4 linked regions of the Canis lupus familiaris genome follow. The protein of the gene in region 1 purifies or fractionates together with the protein of each later gene. This does not show direct contact. Links are inferred from orthologs where the notes say so. Each region holds a gene or a part of one and is shown on either strand. Other genes may lie near its edges.

What was found.
Region 2: the proteins of USP25 (region 1) and KCTD10 purify together in Homo sapiens (affinity purification with mass spectrometry; 4 studies listed by BioGRID and IntAct, counting the BioPlex papers as one, with this or other methods). This does not show direct contact. The link is inferred for Canis lupus familiaris from reciprocal best matches to the Homo sapiens genes USP25 and KCTD10.
Region 3: the proteins of USP25 (region 1) and BTBD9 purify together in Homo sapiens (affinity purification with mass spectrometry; 3 studies listed by BioGRID and IntAct, counting the BioPlex papers as one, with this or other methods). This does not show direct contact. The link is inferred for Canis lupus familiaris from reciprocal best matches to the Homo sapiens genes USP25 and BTBD9.
Region 4: the proteins of USP25 (region 1) and KLHL9 purify together in Homo sapiens (affinity purification with mass spectrometry; 3 studies listed by BioGRID and IntAct, with this or other methods). This does not show direct contact. The link is inferred for Canis lupus familiaris from reciprocal best matches to the Homo sapiens genes USP25 and KLHL9.

The regions. Positions count from the first base shown.
Region 1 is NC_049252.1:13,121,232-13,126,316, forward strand, and holds part of USP25 (ubiquitin carboxyl-terminal hydrolase 25), read left to right. Parts: intron 1-159; coding exon 160-283; intron 284-3,601; coding exon 3,602-3,797; intron 3,798-4,107; coding exon 4,108-4,280; 3' UTR 4,281-5,085. UniProt on the Homo sapiens protein: Deubiquitinating enzyme that hydrolyzes ubiquitin moieties conjugated to substrates and thus, functions in various biological processes including inflammation and immune response.
Region 2 is NC_049247.1:17,948,088-17,953,598, reverse strand, and holds the start of KCTD10 (BTB/POZ domain-containing adapter for CUL3-mediated RhoA degradation protein 3), read right to left. Parts: upstream 3,456-5,511; 5' UTR 3,314-3,455; coding exon 3,221-3,313; intron 1-3,220. UniProt on the Homo sapiens protein: Substrate-specific adapter of a BCR (BTB-CUL3-RBX1) E3 ubiquitin-protein ligase complex. The BCR(BACURD3) E3 ubiquitin ligase complex mediates the ubiquitination of target proteins, leading to their degradation by the proteasome.
Region 3 is NC_049233.1:7,340,345-7,345,429, forward strand, and holds part of BTBD9 (BTB/POZ domain-containing protein 9), read right to left. Parts: intron 3,734-5,085; coding exon of another isoform or gene 3,542-3,733; exon of another isoform or gene 3,527-3,541; intron 1,562-3,526; coding exon 1,367-1,561; 3' UTR 1,338-1,366; intron 782-1,337; 3' UTR 1-781.
Region 4 is NC_049232.1:40,904,737-40,910,470, forward strand, and holds the start of KLHL9 (kelch-like protein 9), read left to right. Parts: upstream 1-1,978; 5' UTR 1,979-2,340; coding exon 2,341-4,194; 3' UTR 4,195-5,734.

The sequences.
Region 1 (5,085 bases):
TTCTCAGACTTATAGGGCATTGGATAATATTTTTATTGTAATGTTCTGAATAATCAACACTTAAATGTGTACTTAAAATATTTTATAATTGTAGCTGACTTTTCTTATTTTTCCACAAAGATGAAATACTAATGCTATGTGTTCCTTTTAATTTTTAAGTTATATAGATTCCCTGCTGTTCCTTATCTGTGCCTATCAGAACAACAAAGAACTCTTGTCCAAAGGCCCAAACAGAGGACATGATGAAGAATTGATATCACATTATAGAAGAGAATGTTTACTAGTAAGTTGAATATACATAGATCCTGTTTACTTTATCATTTTGTCTTACATTGAACACATTTTCAGACTCATGTGTGATTGACAATAATTCTGATGGGGAAAGCATCATGATGATGTTTATAATCTGGGTTTAATCCCTTACAATGTGAGAATGCACTCAATGCACTCAATGTACTCTTATCCCTTCTTTATTAATTCTAAATATTGCAGGTGATAAACTAGAAATGTGCTTAAATTGAGATAAAAATACTTACATTTCTATATTTAGATTTCTTCATCATTCTGCCATTCCCTTTTATGGTGAGAGAAGAGGCGCTGCACAGGGCCTGAGGAATTATTATGATTATTCCAGAAAAAATAATAGATTTTTTTGAGTTTTTATAAATAGTATATTTGGTGTACATATTGTGAAAAGATTCATTGTAATACAGTATCCTTTTTTCTCACCTAGTCTTTGGTAGGTTTTTTCCCCTCAAATATTTTTACTATCCATGTGCAGAAATATTACTATTGTTATATAAACTTTAAAAAATCTTTTTAGTAGTTTTTTTTACATCACATTACTTTCTAGATGTCTGGAGTACTTTCTCTCATTAGCTAATATGTATTAAATGACAAAGTCCATCTTTATATATTTTTCCAATTGAATTTCATCTTTAACTACTAACATTGCTCTTGAATACAAAATTATTCAAGAATGTATGATTTTTGAGCTTATATAAGTTACATGGTTCAAATATAAACAACTAACTAGGTATGCTGGTAAAATGTTTTCTTTCAGTAGAACTACATAGTATAAACTAATTGTAGTCTTTAGTATGTCTTTAAAATTTTCAAATGAGAATATTAGAAGTTTGTGATCTTACTATTTTTCTCTCAGCTGCTTTTATTGCATTTGAGTGTATTTTAAAACTTGAATTGTTAGTGGTTTGTATCCATGGAGGATAGTTCTTAAATTTGGCCAGTTTCAAAAAGTTTTTAGTCAACACCTGAGAAGGAAGACTGGAATATATTTTAGCTTAAAAAAATACAAGATATTATATATTTATATATGGAATGAATTAAAGCAATTTTTAATGTAAAAATATTAAAGCCTTGGGATATGGAAATATTTTGGTAAAGCTATTTTAAGCATAAATACAGCCAAAACTTGGTTACTTCAAAACATTTAAAAAAATGATAGAATGTTTCTCATTAGTTTATAATAGTAAACCAGCCATATCTAGTTTGGTGTTTTACACAGGGATTTAAATGACACCTCGTGAGGATTATGTCAGGGTTCCTTTTGGGTTTTTTTGTATTGAATATTTACTGAGTGTCAGATTTGAGGGATACAAAGACAAGACCTGTTTATATCCTGCCCTCTGAGAACTCCGTCTGTACAGAAATGACTTTTATATTCCAGAATAAATGTCAATATGAGAAACACGCAAAATCATATGCCTGCAAGTTGTCAAGGAAAACTGTAAGAGATACAAACAACACTGATCTGGATCTTGATGGATAAATAGGAATTTTATGCCTTGTAGAGAAGACAGAAGAACAGTCTAGCCCAGAGGGACAGTATATGAAAAGGCATGGGAAGTATACAACAGAAAATGAAGATAGATCCATTGTGGCTAGGTTATGAGGAACAGGGTTAGGTGGAAATGATGAAGCTAACGGTACTTGTTGATGTCAGCCTATGTAGAAGCTTATGCAGCATTCTAATGAGTTTGGACCTTTTTAAGTTTAAGTAGATTTGACATGTTCAGGTTTGTTTTAGAAAATAATTCTGGCTATAGCATATTAGAGGATGAACTAGAAAGAAGTAGAGATTGAAGTCCCTCGAAGGAGGAAGAAAGGTGAGAGCCTCAACCAAAGCAGAAGTACAGTGGGTACAAAGAAGAGGGCATAGAAGATGATGAAAGAAGTGCCATCAAGGGACTTGGTAACTACTAGATGAGTGGAAAGAAGGAAAAAGAATCATCAAAACTGCCTGACTTTGTAGTTTTGTGTTTGGCTTCTGGGACTCTAAAGAAGATGAATAAATTTGGCTTTGGGTGTTTGATATTTAAGTTGTTTCCAGACAAGTTAACATTAAATTTCAGAATGATAGTTAACTATTATGTCTTTGAATGTATATTGTAAAAATTATACTAGGTGCTTAATGGCTTATTTCATTTAATTCTCTTAACCACTGTATATGGAAGGTGATAATATTCCATTTTCCATATGAAGAAACTGAAGCTAAGAAATTATGTATTTGCTCAAGATTAGATAACTAACTGCTTAGTGACTGAGTTAGATTTTGATCATAAGCCTCTCTACAAAGTCAAGAGATGAATCCTTCAAGAATGACATAAACATAAAAATATAATTTTTTTATTTGAAATTCAGCTTAAAACTATGAATATTTCAAAAGCATATCTATCATGCTCTAAACATAAAATTTCAGACCTAAACCCTTCAATATTAAGCTCTTGTTATACCTGTAATTTCTTATCTGTTTCCTATGTCTGTATTTCTTATCTCATGAATTTCTGTCTTCTGCTATCAGCACACTTGGCCTGTACTCTAGTCTACCATGTGTTTTTGTAAATAAAGTTTTATTGAAACATAGTCCAGTCATTTGCATATTATATATGGCTGCATTAGTGCAGCAATGACAGAGTAGTTACAGCAGAAACCATATGGCCCTCAAAGCCTTAAGTATATCTTATTACCTTGTCCTTTACAGAAGTTTTCTAATCTCGATGGCAAATTGTAAGCTCCGTGAGGGTTTCCTGTACTAATCACTTGGGTTCCTCTGAAACTAGAACAGCCTCTGGCATATAGTATGTATTCAGTAAGAATTTTTTGAAGGAATAATGAATTGATTGATTTTTTATTTTATATTCAAGAAATACAACAATATTTATTCACTTGGCATTTCCAAAAAGATGATAAAATGTTCTTCAAAGTTAATATGGAATCTGAATTTTTTTTTTTTAATTTTTAAAATTACTTTGATGTCTTACCAAATTTTAGAATAGGGGAAATTTACCTCTGGAGAATAAAAATGGCCCTTGTAGTGATGATTACAGTAATATAAGCTGAATATGAACTTTAAAAATATAACTATTTTCACCACTTCTTTTTGCTTTTGTTTTTGTTATTATTATATGTACAGCTTTTTCTAAGAGACTTCATGCTCGAATAGATTGAGATTGTTTTTCCTGATTGCTATTTGTTCTAAAATTGTTTGTAAACATACTTATTATGTCATCTTCAATATTAACACAAGTGTTTTTATTTAATTAAAAAAACCCAAACTCTTTCTTTTCCTCATTGCATTAAGAAATTAAATGAGCAAGCGGCAGAATTGTTTGAATCTGGAGAGGATCGAGAAGTAAACAATGGTCTGATTATCATGAACGAGTTTATTGTCCCATTTTTGCCCTTGTTATTGGTGGATGAAATGGAAGAGAAAGATATTCTTGCTGTGGAAGACATGAGAAATCGATGGTGTTCCTATCTTGGACAAGAAATGGAATGTAAGTTTAACCTGTGCTAGTGGGCACCTCAGTTGTTGGGATTAAGTGTAGTTAGAATTAGATTATTATTTATTCTTATCATTTTTTATATTCTGTAATATTTTACATTCACATCATTACTTTTTTTTTCCTGTTTACAAACCAAGTTGTGCACATTGCCTTGCCATTTATATTCTACCTCTCTCCACCAAATGGTGATTATTTTGCATATTTTGAAATGAAACATCAATTGACCACTTTAATAAATCATGTTAAAGATAATTTCTTTCCCTCTCTATCTTTAGCTACATCTAATTGTTTGTATTTACAGCAAACCTCCAAGAGAAGCTGACAGATTTTCTGCCAAAACTGCTCGATTGTTCTACTGAGATTAAAGGTTTTCACGAACCACCGAAGTTACCTTCATATTCCACACATGAACTGTGTGAGCGGTTTGCCCGAATCATGTTGTCCCTCAGTCGAACTCCTGCTGATGGAAGATAAACTGCACACACTTTCCCTAAACACACTGTATAAACTTTTTTTAGTTCTTAACCCTTGCCTTCCTGTCACAGGGTTTGCTTGTTGCTGCTATAGTTTTTAACTTTTTTTTTATTTTAATAACTGCAAAACACAAAATGACTATACAGACTCTAGCCGGACTACAAACAATAAAGCTGAGAATCGCATGGCGCTCAGACTTTGTTTTAACCAGGACTGATGTATAATTACAAATCTGATTGATTTCATTATGGCAAAACCATGCTTTTGCCACCTTTCTGTTACAGTATTACTTTGCTTTTTTCTTTTATCTACAGCTTTCCATTCAGTCTGGATCCTTCCATGACTGCAGCCATTTAAGTGTTCAGCACTGTGTACGATACATAATACTTGGTAGCTTGTAAATGAAATTAAAGAATAAAGTTTTATTTATGGCTACCTATGTGTTTGTTAGCAGGTATATTGTATATTAGTGTATTATTTTAGTTATATATAAATGAATTTTGTCTGGGGATTGTGTAAGATTGGATGGACAGATGACTAGATTATTACAAACTTTTAATTTTTCTCTGTTAGCATATTGGAAATTTACTAAATATTTGACACTTAAATGTATCTATATTTTTGACTAAGTTGTTAAACTTAGTGGCACCTAAACCTGTTTTGAATTCAAATCAGGTTTTCACTGAAGTAAGCGGCTGATATTTAAGTCAACCACACTGAAACTTTTAACTTTTTCTTAGATTAACCTTTTATTTTTTTATGTATTTACAAATAATATAGCAAGGTGATTATTTCAAGAGATACC
Region 2 (5,511 bases), on another chromosome or scaffold:
AGTGTCTCCCTCTCAGGACTGCTCTGAGGGATGCCACAGAGTACTCAGCATGGCTTCTGGCTTACAGCAGCAAAGACTCACGTTATGATTATTCAAGAATGCTCTCAAAGTCTCCAATTATCTTTTCTCTGAAGACCATTTCCAACTCTACAGACACCCACCAGAATCGCTAAGAGATAAAGCAGAAACCATCTTGATCTAGCTTGAGACTCCAGAATAGGCAAAGAAAGCTCTGAACCTTTCTGGAGCCCACCCTTCTAAAGGTCAATACTGGGAATGGTCTTTGGTTGAAAGGTAGTCTGACTGTTCATGTCTCTGAGCCCGTATTGCACTGAGCTAAGGACACAAAGCAGCAGACACTAAGTCTCCCCAGCACATCTCTCTACAGAAGACTCCTCAGCCACTGCTACCAGGATCCTGCTTTTTTTTCACTTGTTTCAAAGTTTTGATTTCATCATTAATGGGGTTGGGGAGGTGAGGCAGGAGAGAGCAAAACTGGTTACAAAAAACAAAGATAAAATTAATACTTGAGGTATTGGTTATGGATTCTATTCAATCTGAAAATTTTAATCCAGTTAGATCTCCCCTGAGTATCCTATTGCTGACTCTAAACAGTGGCTCTCCCCTTAAAAACAAAAAAACCTGACATCAGAGTCCTATTCACGTAAATTCTGATGTTAGCTAATCTAGGGGTATGGCTTGAGCAACAGAAATTTTTTTAACTCCCCTAGGTGATTCCAACATGCAGCCAAAATTGCAGCCCACCACTGTAAATAGTTCTGTACACCTATTCACTTCATCATCTTGAAGAAGCTCCCCCAACCTCCTGTTCTATTGGCCCAGTGAATTCCTGACCACACATAAAACTAAACCAGAGCATCATAAATAAAAGCCAGCCCCTATTTCACAGCCTCAGAGCCACAGACAGGAAACAACTGTATACATGCTTAAAAAATAAAAATCAGCCCAAGGAAGAAAAGTGTTGACTTGAAAAGAGGCTCAGGCAAGTATAATAGGAGAAAAAGACACCACTCCCCTCACCCTTGGGTGTTTTCCATACAGCTCTCTGTGGAAACTGTCTCCATTGTGTGTTGGGGGAGACGTGTGTATGGAAGGTTGGATCAGAAGTCTGAAGAACCTAGGCTAGTCTCAGTTCCACCACTTCCTGTGTGAGGTTCAAACAAGTGTTTTGAGTCTCTGTTTCCTACCTTGTGAAACGAAGGTAAAGCCATAATCTTCATAAGAACCTTCAGGGAATGAATGTTTGAATACTTGGTACCTGGCCCTTAGTGCAGTTTCCCCTCTGTCCCTCAAACTTAAGACCAGAGGTCCCAGCCTGGCTGTATTACAGTCACCTGGATGCATGTAAAAGTACCAATGCCTGGGCTTCACCCCAGGCTAATTAATCAGAATCAGAGGGGGAGGGAGCAGCTCAGCTGTATTTAAGAAGTTCATGGGGGCACATGGGTGGCCCAGTGGTTGAGCATCTGCCTTTGGTTCAGGTTGTGACATGGGAGTCCCATGTCAGTCTCCCAATATAGAGTCTGCTTCTCCCTCTGTGTGTCTCTCATTAATAGACAAAATCTTAAAAAAAAAAAAAAAAAGGAAAAAAAAAAAAGGCAGCTCTTCAGGTGATCTAAGATGTGGTCCCAGCTAAGAGTCACAGAGCTAAGGTGCTCCTTTAACCAGCTTGATCTAAGAGTCACTGCCTTTTAGCTAATTATAAAACTTCCCCAAACTAAGGGCATTTCCACAACTCAGGAAAATCTGCTGTTCCACTTCAACCAAACTGCATTAAATCAGCCACATAACCGTGGCATTATTTTGCATCCAAAATTTGTTTACGGGGCCACTACTGCTATTTCCAATTGTTCTGCTAAATTACTTTCCCTCCCTCTGTGTATCATGCAAACTATTGGCCTATTTCTCCCAGGGGATCCAGCGAGGAAGACGTCACCAATCCCACTTTTTAGGGGAGAAAAATGAAGAATCAGAACTACAAGGTTTCTCTGACTCAGGCTCCCTTCATTACATAGCCCAAATCAAGAAATCATTAATCTCCCATTAACAGGGCGTGTTAAAACAGATTGAGGGGTCCAACCCCCAGACTGATTCAGTGGTCAGTGATAAGGCTTGAAAAATCTGGTCATTTCTAGGACACGTGGGTGACTCAGTGGTTGAGCGTCTGCCTGGTTGTGTTGATCTGTGGCTCCCCTAAGAGGAGCCAGCTTCTCCCTCTGCCTGTGTCTCTCATGAATAACTGGATGAATGGATGGATGGAAGGAAGGAAAGAAGGCAGGCAGGCAGGCAGGCAGGCAGGCAGGAGATTTGGCCGTTTCTAACGAGTTGCCAGGTGATTCTGCAGCTGCTACTGCCAGTCTGGAGGTCAGTTTAAGAACTGCTGGTTTAATGCCTCCTTCCCTGCAGGTGGTCCTTATTTTGCATAAGATGCAGCAAAATCAGATACAGGTTGGCTAAGTCGTCTTCGGCAGTGTTCCAAGAGGCAAAGGAGTAAGAGAGCTAGGCTAGACTTTGGTCATTCCCAGCCAGGGCCAAAGAGCCATTTCGGGAACAGACCCTTCAAGGATCACACGCCTGCAGAACCCTTCCGACCGCTGGTGACAGCCGGAGATCCGTTCTGAACTCCTTAGGTGTGGCCGCTTCGGGCTCGGACGGAAGTGACTGGAGAGGGACCAAGGCGCGGGCTGAAGGCGCTGGCCTCCGAGGCCAAGGTCCCTGGAGCTCAGGCCCCCGCCATCCCTCCCCTCTATCTCTTCCCTGCTCTCCCCCAAACACGCCCTCGTGTTCAGAAGCACCTGGAAGCTCCTTCTCCAGTTTCCCCGGAACCGAGAGGCTGCAGCCACAACTTCCAAAGACCCCCCCCCCCAACGCTTCGCCCCAAGGAATCCCACGCCGCTCTCTAAACCTAACCGTTCTCTTGCGCAGCGCCCTCCCACCCTCACTTTCCACCCCAGAGTCCATCTTCGACAACCCCTCTTTGTTCTCTCCACATTCACCGACCCAACGGGTCCTCAAGACTCGAGAGACCCCCCCAGCTCACCCACACGTATCTACTCCCCCAAGCCCAGATGCTCTATCCCGAGCCCCAACAGCCAGGGGCACCGCCCCCGTCACTCACCACAGCCCTTCCCCCCCCCCGCCCCCCCCCCCCCCCCCATCGGCCTCTCCCTTTTCGCGACGGCCCCTCCTCGCGACCCACCCCTCCTTGGCTCCTTCCCTCTCCGCTCTGCTGCTGCCGGGCTCTCGCGGCCGCCCAGAGCCCCCCGTTAGTGGGCACCGCCCTCCCTACCATGAAAAGTCGGAGGACGCAGGAGTCTCCAAACTCGGACTGAGAGGCAGGAAACACCCAGCTCGCGCAAGCGGGGGGCAGAGGCGGGCCCGGGGCGGGAACTTCCGCTGCGCCAGCGCGCTTCCGCCCCGCAGAGCGCGCCTTCGTAAAGGGTCCGTCGTAAACCTACACGTCGGCCGCGTTCCTTCCAGCCTCTGCGGCTGGAGTAGGTGGCATCACTTCTGAGCTGGATCAGGCATTAGCCTGATGAGGGGTCCATTTTCCCCCCCCACCTTCCAGAGAAGAGGGCAAGATGCAAGGAGGTCGTCCTTCCCGAGGGCAGACGCTCTGCGGAACTGTCGTTTCCCGGAACTGGATAATTGGTTCCCAGCGGAGCTCTCAGAGTGGACACCCCGGGGCAAGATGGCGGTCGGGCCTCGACCGCTGCCCCGGGTCTGGCAGAGCTCGAGGGTATTGGGCTGAGGCGGCGGGAGCTGCGGCCCCGACCCCGAGCGCGGGGGGCCTGGAGCGGGTAAAGATCTACGGCCTGCGGGTAGCGAGTGGAAACGGGGTCTTGGGGTGTCCGGGTGGAGGTGACGGCGGGGACTCTGAGGGAAGGGGCCCTTTGGCGGGGTCCCTGCCTCCCCAAGTCGAAGGGCAGGTGCTATAGGGGCTGGCTTTCGGGGCGGCGGGGGTGTCCCCTTCGTCGTCTTTCCACCCCTATTCATCTGTGGGGAGAATAGGCTTTTATAGACAGACCGGTGCTGGGTGAAGGTTTGTTATGGTGGTTGTCGATGCCGAGGAGAGATGCTGGGCCCAGGAGCCCCCAGACCGGAGTTCAGGCCCCGCTGACTCGCGGTGTGACCTTGGGTGAGCTCCCTCACCTCTCGGAGCCTCGGTTTCTTGCTCTGTAAAATGGAGCGATCAGCTCGTTTCGCATAGGAGTTTGTGTAATGCAAGTTTTAGCGTCTGCCACTCGGCGCTCGGTAGGCAGCTGGTGTTAATGGTTTCAATAGGAAAAACTTGGTCTATTCGGACTCTGCTCAGCCCTACAGGCAGCCTTGCGTTCTCAGCTTTTCTTCGCTGTCCTGGGAGTGGCCGAGTCCCTTGGGTCTTACTTGTTTCACTTAACTGATTTGGAGTTAGACGCGGCTTCAAATTCGGGAGACGAGTGACCTCTCCTGAGTCGTGCTCCCTCTACATTTCATTTTCTCCGTGTGAAGGTGGGATCCGTAACATGCTCCTAGATGGGCTGTAGCCTTCAGTAAATGCTGTTATTAATGGCCTAAGTCCTGTTGCCTGTTCTTTATTTTTTTAAACAAATTTTTAAAAGATTTTATGTTTTCATGGGGGGGAGGGGCAGAGACACAGGCAGAGGGAGAAGCAGGCCCCATGCAGGGAGCCGGACCGGGGACTCGTGGGACTCGATCCCTGGTCTCCAGATCAGGCCCTGGGCAGAAGGCGGCGCTAAACCCCTGAGACACCCAGGCTGCCCCCCCTCCCCTTGCCTGTTCTTTAAAAATTGGGCCACTGAGACCTTCAAGAGCTGTTGGAAAGACAAAATTGGTTAAATATCTGTACAGTGTCTGAAACATGATCTGCCCTTAACAGATTGGTGGTGGTCACTAAACCTGGCTGCCCAGCTAGTCCATAGGGGGAAAATCCTCTTGGGCTCAGACAGCAGTTGATACTTAGGATGCTTCACTGTGAGTGATGCCCTCTGGACTCTTTCATAATTCTGCATGAAGCTGACCTCATCCAGGGAAGACTGATTTTGAGCAGCTACCATGGGACTGTAGACATAGAAAAGCATCTGAGGCCTGTCTCTTAGTATTAAAATCTTGGCTCTGCTCCTTACTAAATGGTCTAAGGTGGACTATGGGATGTAACTAAATGATGTTACAGGGTTGCTGGTCTTACTATGTAGAAGGACGGGACACGTAGTGGATACTTAATTTATTTTCCTTTATAAATAATCCTGGTTTATCACTGCCCTCTTGTGTTTCTAATTTTTCCACATATATCATTGTTTCCTAAATTGGGTTAATTCCTTAATTTGGGTTTTGTTTTGTTTTTAAAGTCTAGGTGCTATATATAGCAAAGCTCAGTTACATGCTATCTGCTTTGAGATACTCCTTGTTAATGTTTTTCCACTTAATCGTAATCACAGTGTCATGATGACTAAGTCAGAATAGAAGTGTAAATGTTTCAATTCTTTTAGC
Region 3 (5,085 bases), on another chromosome or scaffold:
CCAGTGACTCTGTGTCTGCCCACAACCAGTGTGTGTTCAAGACCCCAAGACGGAAGTCCGGGTAAGTCCACCCTCCTCCAAGGGGATCACAGGGTGTGCAGAGGCCCCGGGCCTGCATCTGGGGGCCCCGAGGTCCGCGGTGCCCAGCCAGGCCACTGGGTGGGCCCCAGGGTGAGGAGAGGACAAGCAGGCAGAGGCCAAGCGGGTTACGCAGGGTGGTCGGCGCCCAACTGGAAACCACTGTGTAGGAGGCGCGACAGGGCTGGCTCGGCCACCGCAGTCGGGAGGCCCACTCCGTTGAGGACGAGGACAAAAGCTTCCGAGAACTGCTTTTTGTTCTAAACCCCGGGTGTGCAGTACGTCCTGCGGGGGAGGCACAGCAGCGCCACCCAACAGCCTCAACCTGCCGCAAAGGCGCAGTTCCCTGTCCCCAACCCCGACCCCCGCTCGGCCACCGCGCTGACTCCTCACACTTATATACACATTTACATACTTCGGACCATGAAATTAGCAGGTGGCTTAGCAACTCCTTCTTTGTCAGCCTCCCAAGCTCAAAGGCTGGATGCGTCTCAGGAATGACAGGTTAATAACTCAGGAATTCGAGCGATCATTAACTCCAGTGTCATTGGATTGATTTGCTCATTGTGTATTTTGCTGAACTTCCTCGGAGGATTTTCCCTGTCAGACCAGGGGCCGTGATGAGCTGCGTCTGTGCTTCACTCGGGAGACGGGAGACGTGGGCAGTGCTTCTCTGCTCCACCCCAGGCTTAACCGCTCAAAACTAAGGAGGGAAATTACAGCATCAAGAGGGATGAAAACAAGGGATGTGCTGTTTAAGCAGTGCAAAAGACGATCTGGAACACCTATGATTCAGCAAATGGACAATAACTAAAAGAAATTTTTAAAAAATCAGTTCCCACGGCAATGTGTTCCAGGAAAGTCAGCACTCTACAGAAACCCACTGCCTTCGGGTGCCTCCGGGGAGCAGAGCCCACCCCCTGCCCTGCACGCGCCCCTGCTGCGCTGTGCTTTGTAGGAATTCCGACACCACCCATCTACCGCTTCCCTCTGTCCCCCTTGCCCCAGTGACATTAGAGAGGTAGGGTGTTAATGGTGGACTTGATGAAGTTTGAAGACCCATTTTCTCCCCCTGGAGACCAGCCTGATTTGAACAAATTGAGGAGAACAAAGCAGCCCCCTTTCTGTCCTTGGGAGAACGCCTGTTGTGTGTCCCTTTTTGCAGCGGGCTCTGCTCCTCCCTGGAGGGGTCAGGGGCAGTCAACAGAGATCCCTCCTGGCCGGGGGGTGGGGGGGTGGGGGTGGGCACCAGTCCTTGCCTCTGCCCTCAATGGGGCCTGGGGGCCCTTTACTGGTGCTGCCGGTTGGGGGAGCGAGAGGCGGAGCCGGGGCTGGAAGGCAGGGAGCTGCCGCTGGGGGCCTGCAGGGCGTGGGGGTCGAGCTGCGGACCCGGGCCAGGCTCCCCTGGCCCCGACTCCTCGCTGCTGTCCTCCTTATGGCTGCTCTGCTGCTCCGGACACTCAAAGTGGACACAGTGGAACACCTGGCGAGAGAGAGCAAAGGCCCGTGAGCGATGGCGGGTGTCCTTCTGGGCCGGCGGCCCCGGGGCGGCGACAAGAGGCTGGTGCACCTGTCTCAGTTGGGACAGAGGCAAATGGGCTGAGGGTCTGTGGGTTACAGGCAGTAACACGGCCTCCTAGAAAATGTCCTCTCTGGATTACTCCATTTCGGGTTCCTTTTGTCACAGGAGCGCTCTTGTAATTAATTGATGAATCCCTGCCTCTGGCAGTCGGGTTAAGAGTCACCAGGGCTTGACTGGGGTGACAGCTGCACATAAAAACCCCTGCGTCTACGCTGCAAATGGGTGAGTTGTTCGGGCTGTGGGTTAGATTTCACTAAAGTCGGTATTTAAACATAAAGTGAGCAGGGCGTCAACCCCCTGGGGGAGGACCAGGGCCCATCTCCCAGGGTCAGATCGAGTCCCCCTGTCAGGCGTCTCCTGTGCCCTGGGGGAGGGAACAGCTCCGGCACGCTGGGGCCAGTGTGGAAGGAAGGCCCTCCGCGGAGGGTGGAGGCCGGCCGCAGGAGCCAGGCGGAGCTGGCTAAGCCTGGGTGCTCTGTGCTCAGCAAACCAGGGGGAGGCCTGCCTGGCCCTGAGAATTCACAGCATGCGGTGTGTGCGGGTGTGAGCCTGACACGCGGCTGTGAAACAGGTCACCGCTGGTGTGTGAGCTGGGGGGACTGGCGACGGCCAGGAAGTCTGTGGGAGGCGGGCCTCTAGGGCAGCCGCCCTACCCTCCCTGGCACACCCGGATATTCCTTTCTCTACCAACACCGCCTGCCCCGAACTCTAAAGGGGAAGAACCCCATCCTCTGCACCGTGGTTTTTGGTGTGGGTACGCAGATCCACTTTCCAAGGGCGTGCTGGCAGTTTTCAGGGAATGAATTTCCAGATCCTCAACCCCTATATTTCCTAAAACTGCCTGCACACATGACTGAATTCACAACACCCTCCCCACCCCCACGGAAGCAGAGCACAGCAGTCACCTGGCCTCAGCGAGGGGCCCTCGCACCTCCTGGGCCCCATGAGAGCGGGGCTCCGCCCGTCAGATGTTCAGAATTCAGAACTGATGGGTAATCGGGACTCAGGTGATTTTTTGAACATAATTGAGACTTTTCCAGAATTTAAACATTTTCAAGATACACTGGCTAAAGCCCATGAGTAAAAGTCTTGCACGATGACTACAGATTTGCTGTGCCTTATTCAGGGAGTTGGTTAAAATCTATTTTAGTGAATCGTGTCATTAAATATTTACTTCTAGTAATTGGTTCCTCATCTTCCATCCTATGGTTTTTTTTACCTCCTATTTATAAAAATAATTGTATTTCAACTTAATATTTTCCTTTTCAACCTTACATGTTCAAAGGGTTATTGTACTTTTTCCCAAAGTTCTTTTAGGAGATAAGCAAAAAAAATGTTTGAAGGCCCCTGCTGCTGTCTGTCCTCAGAGGAGATTCTAAGCCCTCAAGAGAGTGCTTTTAAGTTAACAGGCAGGGCCTGGAGGACAGAGGGGCATTTGGGGGTTAGAAGTGTTTCGGGCAAGCGGAGTAACACTGCTGAAGACCCTCAGGAAGAGAAGGCCCAGTGTTGAAGGAAAGACCCGGGTTGGTGAGGCTGGCGAGGTGTCTGGGGAGAACATTCCATGACCTGCTCGTCCCATGAACACCGCTTCCCACAGGGCTGGGCTTGTACGTCAGATCCAACAACAAAGGCCCTCCAAAGTGTGCGCGCTGGTGATGAGGTGCCAGGTGTTTGGACAGACTGGTCTGGTCACCAGGGGCAGGGTGGCCCGGAGATGGAGGACAGTGGGGTCAACTCAGGGCCAACGGTGTTGTCCAGGGCAAGGGCTGAGCGCTCTGGGCCGCAGGTCACAGAGGCCTGTGAGGAGGAAGGGAGGGGCTGTGGTCCAGGAGGAGTTGATGCCTCACGGCATCAACCTTGGCTACCTGTTGGAGGTGAAGTTCAGCAAAGTGGGACAAATCCAGGAGGGGGCCCAGACTGAGATGAGCTGGCACAGGAGCTGGAGCCCAGGTGGAGGTGGGGGGAGAGGCAGCGCAGGAAGGGCTGCACAGACTTACTGGGGAAACTGAGGGGTCCGAGGAGGGCTGGATCCAAGCAGGAGGCAGTGGCAGCCAGCGGCAGACAGAGGGTCAGCTGGAATGGGGCATAGGGGTGAGTTCTACTTTCTGAGGGGCCCCATGGCGCAATGGTCCTACACACACTGGGGTACTGGGCTGGTGATGTGCCAGGGGATTTTCGGGGGGAGGCCAGAGTCCCAACAAACACCTGCGAGGCTCCCCTAACAGTACGACCTCCTCCCCAGGCTCTCTCCCTGTTGTCCCCAGCCTTCTGCTAAAGAAGTAAGATGGCGAGACCTGTAAGGGTGTCACTAAACTTGGGTACGGACATGGAGTGCATGCCTGGAGCCCGTGCAACAGCCACGAAGGACAGGCCGGGTGACACGGGGGCATGGCATGCTCCCAGCCCACAAGGGTGGGACACACTGCTGGCTCTTCCCTGGCCACCCAGTGCTTCCAGGAGAATGACAGCGCCCCCACCCCTCCTGCTCCCTCGTGGTAGGGTTCCACCCTTTCTTTCCGTGGACCTGTTGGCTGGACCGGAGCCACTCAGCATCTGGTGTGCCCACGTCTGGGGAGTCTCTTCTGGATAAGGGCCTGTGTGCAGTGGCTAAGGCGCTGACACTCCAGGGGTGGGCAGGACGCAGGGCAGGGCTGGTGGGCCCCTGCTACTCTTCCCAAGGGAGAGCTGGGGCGGGGAGGGGGGTGGGCAGGGAACAGTCCCTCCTTCATCCGAGGGCTCGATGTCCTCCACGGCTGAGCACGTGCGTGTACATGCACTGTGCACACATACACACGTGCGTGCACACACATGACCTACTGCAGAATCAGGTGCACAGAGAAGACAAGTATCAACTGCAAGATTATAGTCAAAATATAAATTCTGTGCTTACCTTCCTGCATCACTATTTTCTCCATGTTCCCACTTAATTCATTTATCCACTGCTGTTTCAAATTTCACATCTCAAACTCTAATACGAACACTAATGGAGGCCATGCGTCTCCAGGTCCGCCCTGTTCACAGGGGCAGAGCTGGTCTCTTAGAGGGAGCAGATCTCTCTCTTCACAGCTCAGACTGGGCCTGCTCTCGCCATGGTGCTCCTGGGGGCCTCGCAGCATCTGTCCCTCCTTCCTTTTCCTTTCTTCTCATCCTCCCTGCCAGTTAGAGTAAATCCCCCTGTTTGGGCCCATCTGCAGGTACTCACCTGTCCACAGCCCTATGGGAGGGCCTTTTATGATTTTAAACGGTCTGGGCCATCAGCTCTGACTTGTACCATACAGGGCAAATCCAAACGGCCTCTAAGTGGCAGCTATTAATCCATTCTCCACCAGTTTAACATTCTTTAAGTTTTTCAAGGTTTTAAGTTTTTCCAGCTACCAGCTGCCTGATGGCACTGCCCTGTGGCCCCGGGGTGGGCATACAGGTGA
Region 4 (5,734 bases), on another chromosome or scaffold:
TTCATTGCTCAGGAGAGTCCTTCCATCTCCAACCCCTGCACTAAGCCAATTTCTAGGACTTCCCAATGCTGACAAAGTCCAGTAAAGAATTTCTCACAGCCAGTCTTAATCCAGCCCACCTTTTACACTTGAACATGTTTAAGATATGCTGGAGCATATAGTGGAAGACATCAGCAGTCTGCCCTCTGGAACTTGCTGCCATCCACTGAAACAACAGAAAACAATTGGATACAGTTAACTGTCCATCAGTCCGGGATTGGTTAAATAATTTATGACACACCCATTTATTGGGAGACAAAACAAAGTTCTCTATTTACTAACACGGGAAGATCTCCAAATGAAAAAAAGCTAGGGGCAGAATAGTGAGTACGGGCTCCTATCTTTTATGTAAAAGTAGAAAAAGTATAATAAAAGAATATAATTATAGTCTTACTAGTTTGCATATACAAAAAATAAACTAGATAGATTTAAAAGGCATCAGACACTTCAAAACATGGGAAATGTTGGAAGAAATTATGTCAAAATGTACATCTATTCATACGGCAAAATTTAAATTTACTCCTAAATAGAGAAATACAAGTTAATAAAAATATCCATAAAAGAAAAATAAATAAAAATAAATATGGGAGAAATGCACAAACATTGCTGGTGATCATATTTTGGAAAGAAATTTTTATACGTCTTGAATCCTGTCCTTAGGATTTATCTAAAAACAGGGGAAACTTCTGTGCTGAGATTTTAGTTTATTGGAGTCTATAAAACAATGACGTACAAAGTTTTTATTCAGGAACTAATAATGGGCAAAAGAAACTATAGTATGTGGAATCATCGGAAAGTCCTGTAGCCATCTAAAAATGTGAGTGGATAGGGATGCCTGGGTGGCTCCGTGGTTGAGCGTCTGCCTTCCGTCCAAGGCGTGATCCTGGAGAGCCGGGATCGAGTCCCACATCGGGCTCCCTGCGTGGAGCCTGCTTCTCTGTCTGTGTCTGTCTGTCTCTCTCTCTCGGCCTGTGTCTCTCATGAATAAATAAATAAAATCTTTAAAAAAAAATGTGAGTGGATAGAAGGGGAGGTGGGTGGCAGGTGGGGGTGACTGGGTGATGGGCACTGAGGGGGGCACCTGATGGGATGAGCACTGGGTGTTCTATATGTTGGCAAATTGAACACCAACAAAAAATAAATAAATAAAAATATAAATAAAATAAAATGAAATAAAAATAAAAATGTGAGTGGAGAACAATTACAACGGAATTGCACTGCACAGCCAAAACCCAGGCTATACTATTCATGTGCCGTGGTCACAATTTGGTATTTAGAGACCCATGATCCGTGTATTAAACGACTAGTAATTTGAATATGTGAACCAAAATGGTAACTGAGGTGTAGGATAAAAATCATAGCCCAAGTGCTTTATCGAGGAACAGTTTTAAGCATCTTGCCCCCAGGGCCGCCGCCTCTTCCCCGTTGCCTTCCCATCTATACAAAAGCCGCACGTCATCGTTATTCAAAAGGCAGAAGCCAGGAAGTGTAAATCTTTAAAAAAAAAAAAAAGTATGAACTTAGGAGGAGAGCTCAGGCGCCGTGAGAAGCTCGCAGCACACGCGCAGCACCACGCGGGCGCCCCTGGAGCCCCAGGCCGCGCCCGCTCCTCCGCGCGACCCCGCCCGGCCCCCCGCCCCGGCCCCCGCCCTCGGCGCCTCCCGCACCGCTGCTCCCCGCCCCCACGCGCCCGCCCGCTGACGGGGCCCGGCGGCGCGCAGGCGCAGTAGCCGCCGCGGCCGCTCCTAGCCCGGGGGATCCTGGGACCAAGCCTTTCCGGAAGGACCGGCTCGGCGTCCGGGGCAGAGCCCGCGTTCCAGGCCCAGGCCCGAGCCAGGCCCGCGGTCCAGGCCGTCGTCCCTGCACCGCCGCCGGCGTCCGCGGCGACGCTCCAGCGAGCGCGGAGGGCGCAGCGGGCCGCGCGCTGAGGTGGGCCGGCCTCGCCGCGTCGCCGGCCGCAGTACGTGGCGGCGCCTCCCCCTTGGCCGGGAGCGGAACTGCTGGAGGAGCGGCGGCGCAGGCCGGACCGGGCGAACCGGGTCGCTTCACTGCCTTCAGGTGATGAATCGTCCGCAGAGCAATCAGATTTGAGGTCCGCAGCCCTCCGTGGCCCTGCCCGCCACCAGTTTTGAGCGGATGACCGGCGGGTGTGTTGGCGGGGTGCCGCGGTGACCGCTCGCCCTTGATCAAGGAAAGCGAGCCCTCCTGCTCGGGGCGTGCGCGGCTCGTCTCCTTGAGAGCTTTCAGGCCACAGCCTCGTTCCCCGGGGGGCCCGGGTCTCCGCGGGAGGAAGGCTTTCCCATGAAAGTGTCCCTCGGCACCGGCGAAATGGGCGTCTCCGCCCACCTACAGCCCTGCAAGGCAGGAACCACGCGTTTTTTTACCAGCAACACTCACAGTTCGGTGGTGCTGCAAGGCTTCGACCAGCTCAGAGTAGAAGGCTTGCTTTGTGATGTGACCCTGGTCCCGGGCGACGGAGATGAAATCTTCCCCGTTCACAGAGCTATGATGGCGTCCGCTAGTGATTACTTCAAGGCAATGTTCACAGGCGGAATGAAAGAACAGGATCTGATGTGCATTAAGCTGCATGGGGTGAACAAGGTTGGGCTGAAGAAAATAATTGATTTCATTTATACTGCAAAACTTTCTCTCAATATGGACAATCTTCAGGACACCCTTGAAGCTGCCAGCTTCTTACAGATTTTGCCCGTCTTGGACTTCTGTAAGGTGTTCCTTATTTCGGGAGTCTCTTTAGACAACTGTGTTGAAGTTGGGCGGATTGCTAACACCTACAATCTGATCGAAGTGGATAAGTACGTCAATAATTTCATCCTGAAGAATTTTCCTGCATTGCTGAGTACCGGGGAGTTTCTAAAACTCCCCTTTGAACGGCTTGCCTTTGTGCTTTCTAGTAACAGCCTTAAGCACTGCACTGAACTTGAGCTCTTCAAGGCCGCCTGTCGCTGGCTAAGATTGGAAGACCCTCGGATGGATTATGCTGCAAAATTAATGAAGAACATTCGATTTCCATTGATGACACCCCAGGATCTCATCAATTACGTGCAGACAGTAGATTTCATGAGAACAGACAATACTTGTGTGAATTTGCTTTTGGAAGCTAGCAATTACCAAATGATGCCATATATGCAGCCAGTGATGCAGTCAGATAGAACTGCCATTCGATCTGACTCGACACACTTGGTCACATTAGGAGGAGTTTTGAGGCAGCAGCTGGTTGTCAGCAAAGAATTACGGATGTATGACGAAAGGGCACAAGAGTGGAGATCTCTTGCCCCCATGGATGCTCCTCGTTACCAGCATGGTATTGCTGTCATTGGAAACTTTCTTTATGTAGTTGGTGGTCAAAGTAATTATGATACGAAAGGGAAAACTGCTGTTGATACAGTTTTCAGGTTTGATCCTCGGTACAACAAATGGATGCAGGTTGCATCGTTAAATGAAAAGCGCACGTTTTTCCACTTGAGTGCCCTTAAAGGACATTTATATGCTGTTGGTGGGCGAAGTGCGGCTGGTGAACTGGCCACAGTAGAATGTTACAACCCAAGGATGAATGAGTGGAGCTATGTTGCAAAAATGAGCGAGCCCCACTATGGCCATGCTGGAACAGTGTACGGAGGCTTGATGTATATTTCAGGAGGAATTACTCATGACACTTTCCAAAACGAGCTCATGTGTTTTGACCCAGATACAGACAAATGGACACAGAAGGCTCCAATGACTACAGTCCGAGGTCTGCACTGCATGTGTACAGTTGGAGACAAGCTCTATGTCATTGGTGGCAATCACTTCAGAGGAACAAGTGATTATGATGATGTTCTAAGCTGTGAATACTATTCACCAACCCTTGACCAGTGGACACCAATTGCTGCTATGTTAAGAGGTCAGAGTGATGTTGGAGTTGCTGTCTTTGAAAATAAAATCTATGTTGTGGGTGGATATTCCTGGAATAATCGTTGTATGGTAGAAATTGTCCAGAAATATGACCCAGAAAAGGATGAATGGCATAAAGTTTTTGACCTTCCAGAGTCACTTGGTGGGATTCGAGCTTGTACTCTCACAGTTTTTCCACCCGAGGAAAACCCTGGGTCACCTTCTAGAGAATCCCCTCTTTCAGCACCTTCAGACCATTCTTAGGACTAAAATGTAGTACCTTTGCAGTGCATCATGGATGATCTCACACTTCCCCTTAAATTGTATCTTCTTAAAGTGATTGGTGCAGTTATTAGGTTAAATGGTAACTGATGTTATTTGTATTGCTTGGCTCAGTGTGTTTATCCGTATGGTTAACAAATGCATTCTGAAAATGTATTTAACATAGCCAGCTGTTTTAACAAATGTAAAAAAGATATGTAGAAAAATGTTTTAGATGTCTTTGTGGTGTTGTGTAAGTCAAATTGTAGGTGATTGTAGTAAATGTGTAATTATGTTCGTTTATGCTTCAAAGCTGCAAGTTTTCATCTTTCACTTCAGAACATCGAAGGGAGGCTGCTTGCTCTGACCTAAAATAGTAAAAGGTCGCCAAATATCACCTACCTTCCCTTTTTTCATAATAGTTTTTGACATCGTTGACAATTCACCAGATCGAGTGCATTCAGAATATGTGAAGTTTCCTAGATAGGAGAAATAAACAGCGTACAAAACCCTAAGTCAGGATTTTGTATCTCTGGAGAGAGGGAAAGGGAGAGAGGAAATATAGGTATGTATGCACATAAACACATCCGTATGCATACATACATGTGTATATACATTCATACAGCTGTACACATACATATATAATTTTAAAATTGATTGGTATTTCGGCTGTAGGAAAATTGTTTCTAAATTAAATTTTTTTTCTTCTACCTAGCAGCTATTTCTATCCAAATGGGAATTCAGTACCAGAGAATAAGTATCTATAGAATCGTACTAAATTGAGATAGATAAGGGCTACAGCATATTAAACTGACTACCAAATTTGTCATTTGACTAAATTGTTACTTCAGATAAAACCTATTACTTTTTCTGCTTGTGTATTGTTTTCTATAGAGTTGCAAGTTCAGGTTTCTGAAAGTTGGTTTTGCTGAATACGTTTAAGCTCTGCTGTTTTCCACCCTTTTTGTTCAGTAAAACTTATATGAGGAAAGCTAAGAAAGAAATAACGCTGAGCAAAACGATAGGATTTTAAGTTCAGTCTCCCAACTTAGTCATTCTAATGTGATCATTTGATTTGGGGTGATTGCTCCACCCCATGTGCATCCTGAGCTTTGTGTGACCTGCCTTAGGGCTATGATCTGAGCAAGCGGGAGATATAGTCAGTTCTGTATCAGATCAGGAAAACGTCCTTTTGACTATTTCTAAAGAACAGGACCAACTTCAGATTCTCTCAGAAGCCAGCTACAGAGAAAGCGTGGGACATTCCTGTTTTTCAGGCAGTACTAAAGTAGATGTTCAGCCTCTAAAATACCAAAGGCATCCCTACTGGTTGAGAATTACATGGGGAGATCTTAATGACCTCTTTTCTGCAAATGGAAGTCATAGGAGTCTTGTAGGTAGTGAGTGATTCTAGAGAGGTACTTTATTGGAATAATTGCCTATCTGAAGAAAAAATTTACATGTGTGTATTTACATACATATGAATATGTATACCCTTACACTTGGGAGATTGTCATAGTATATATAAATCAGGAACAATCTT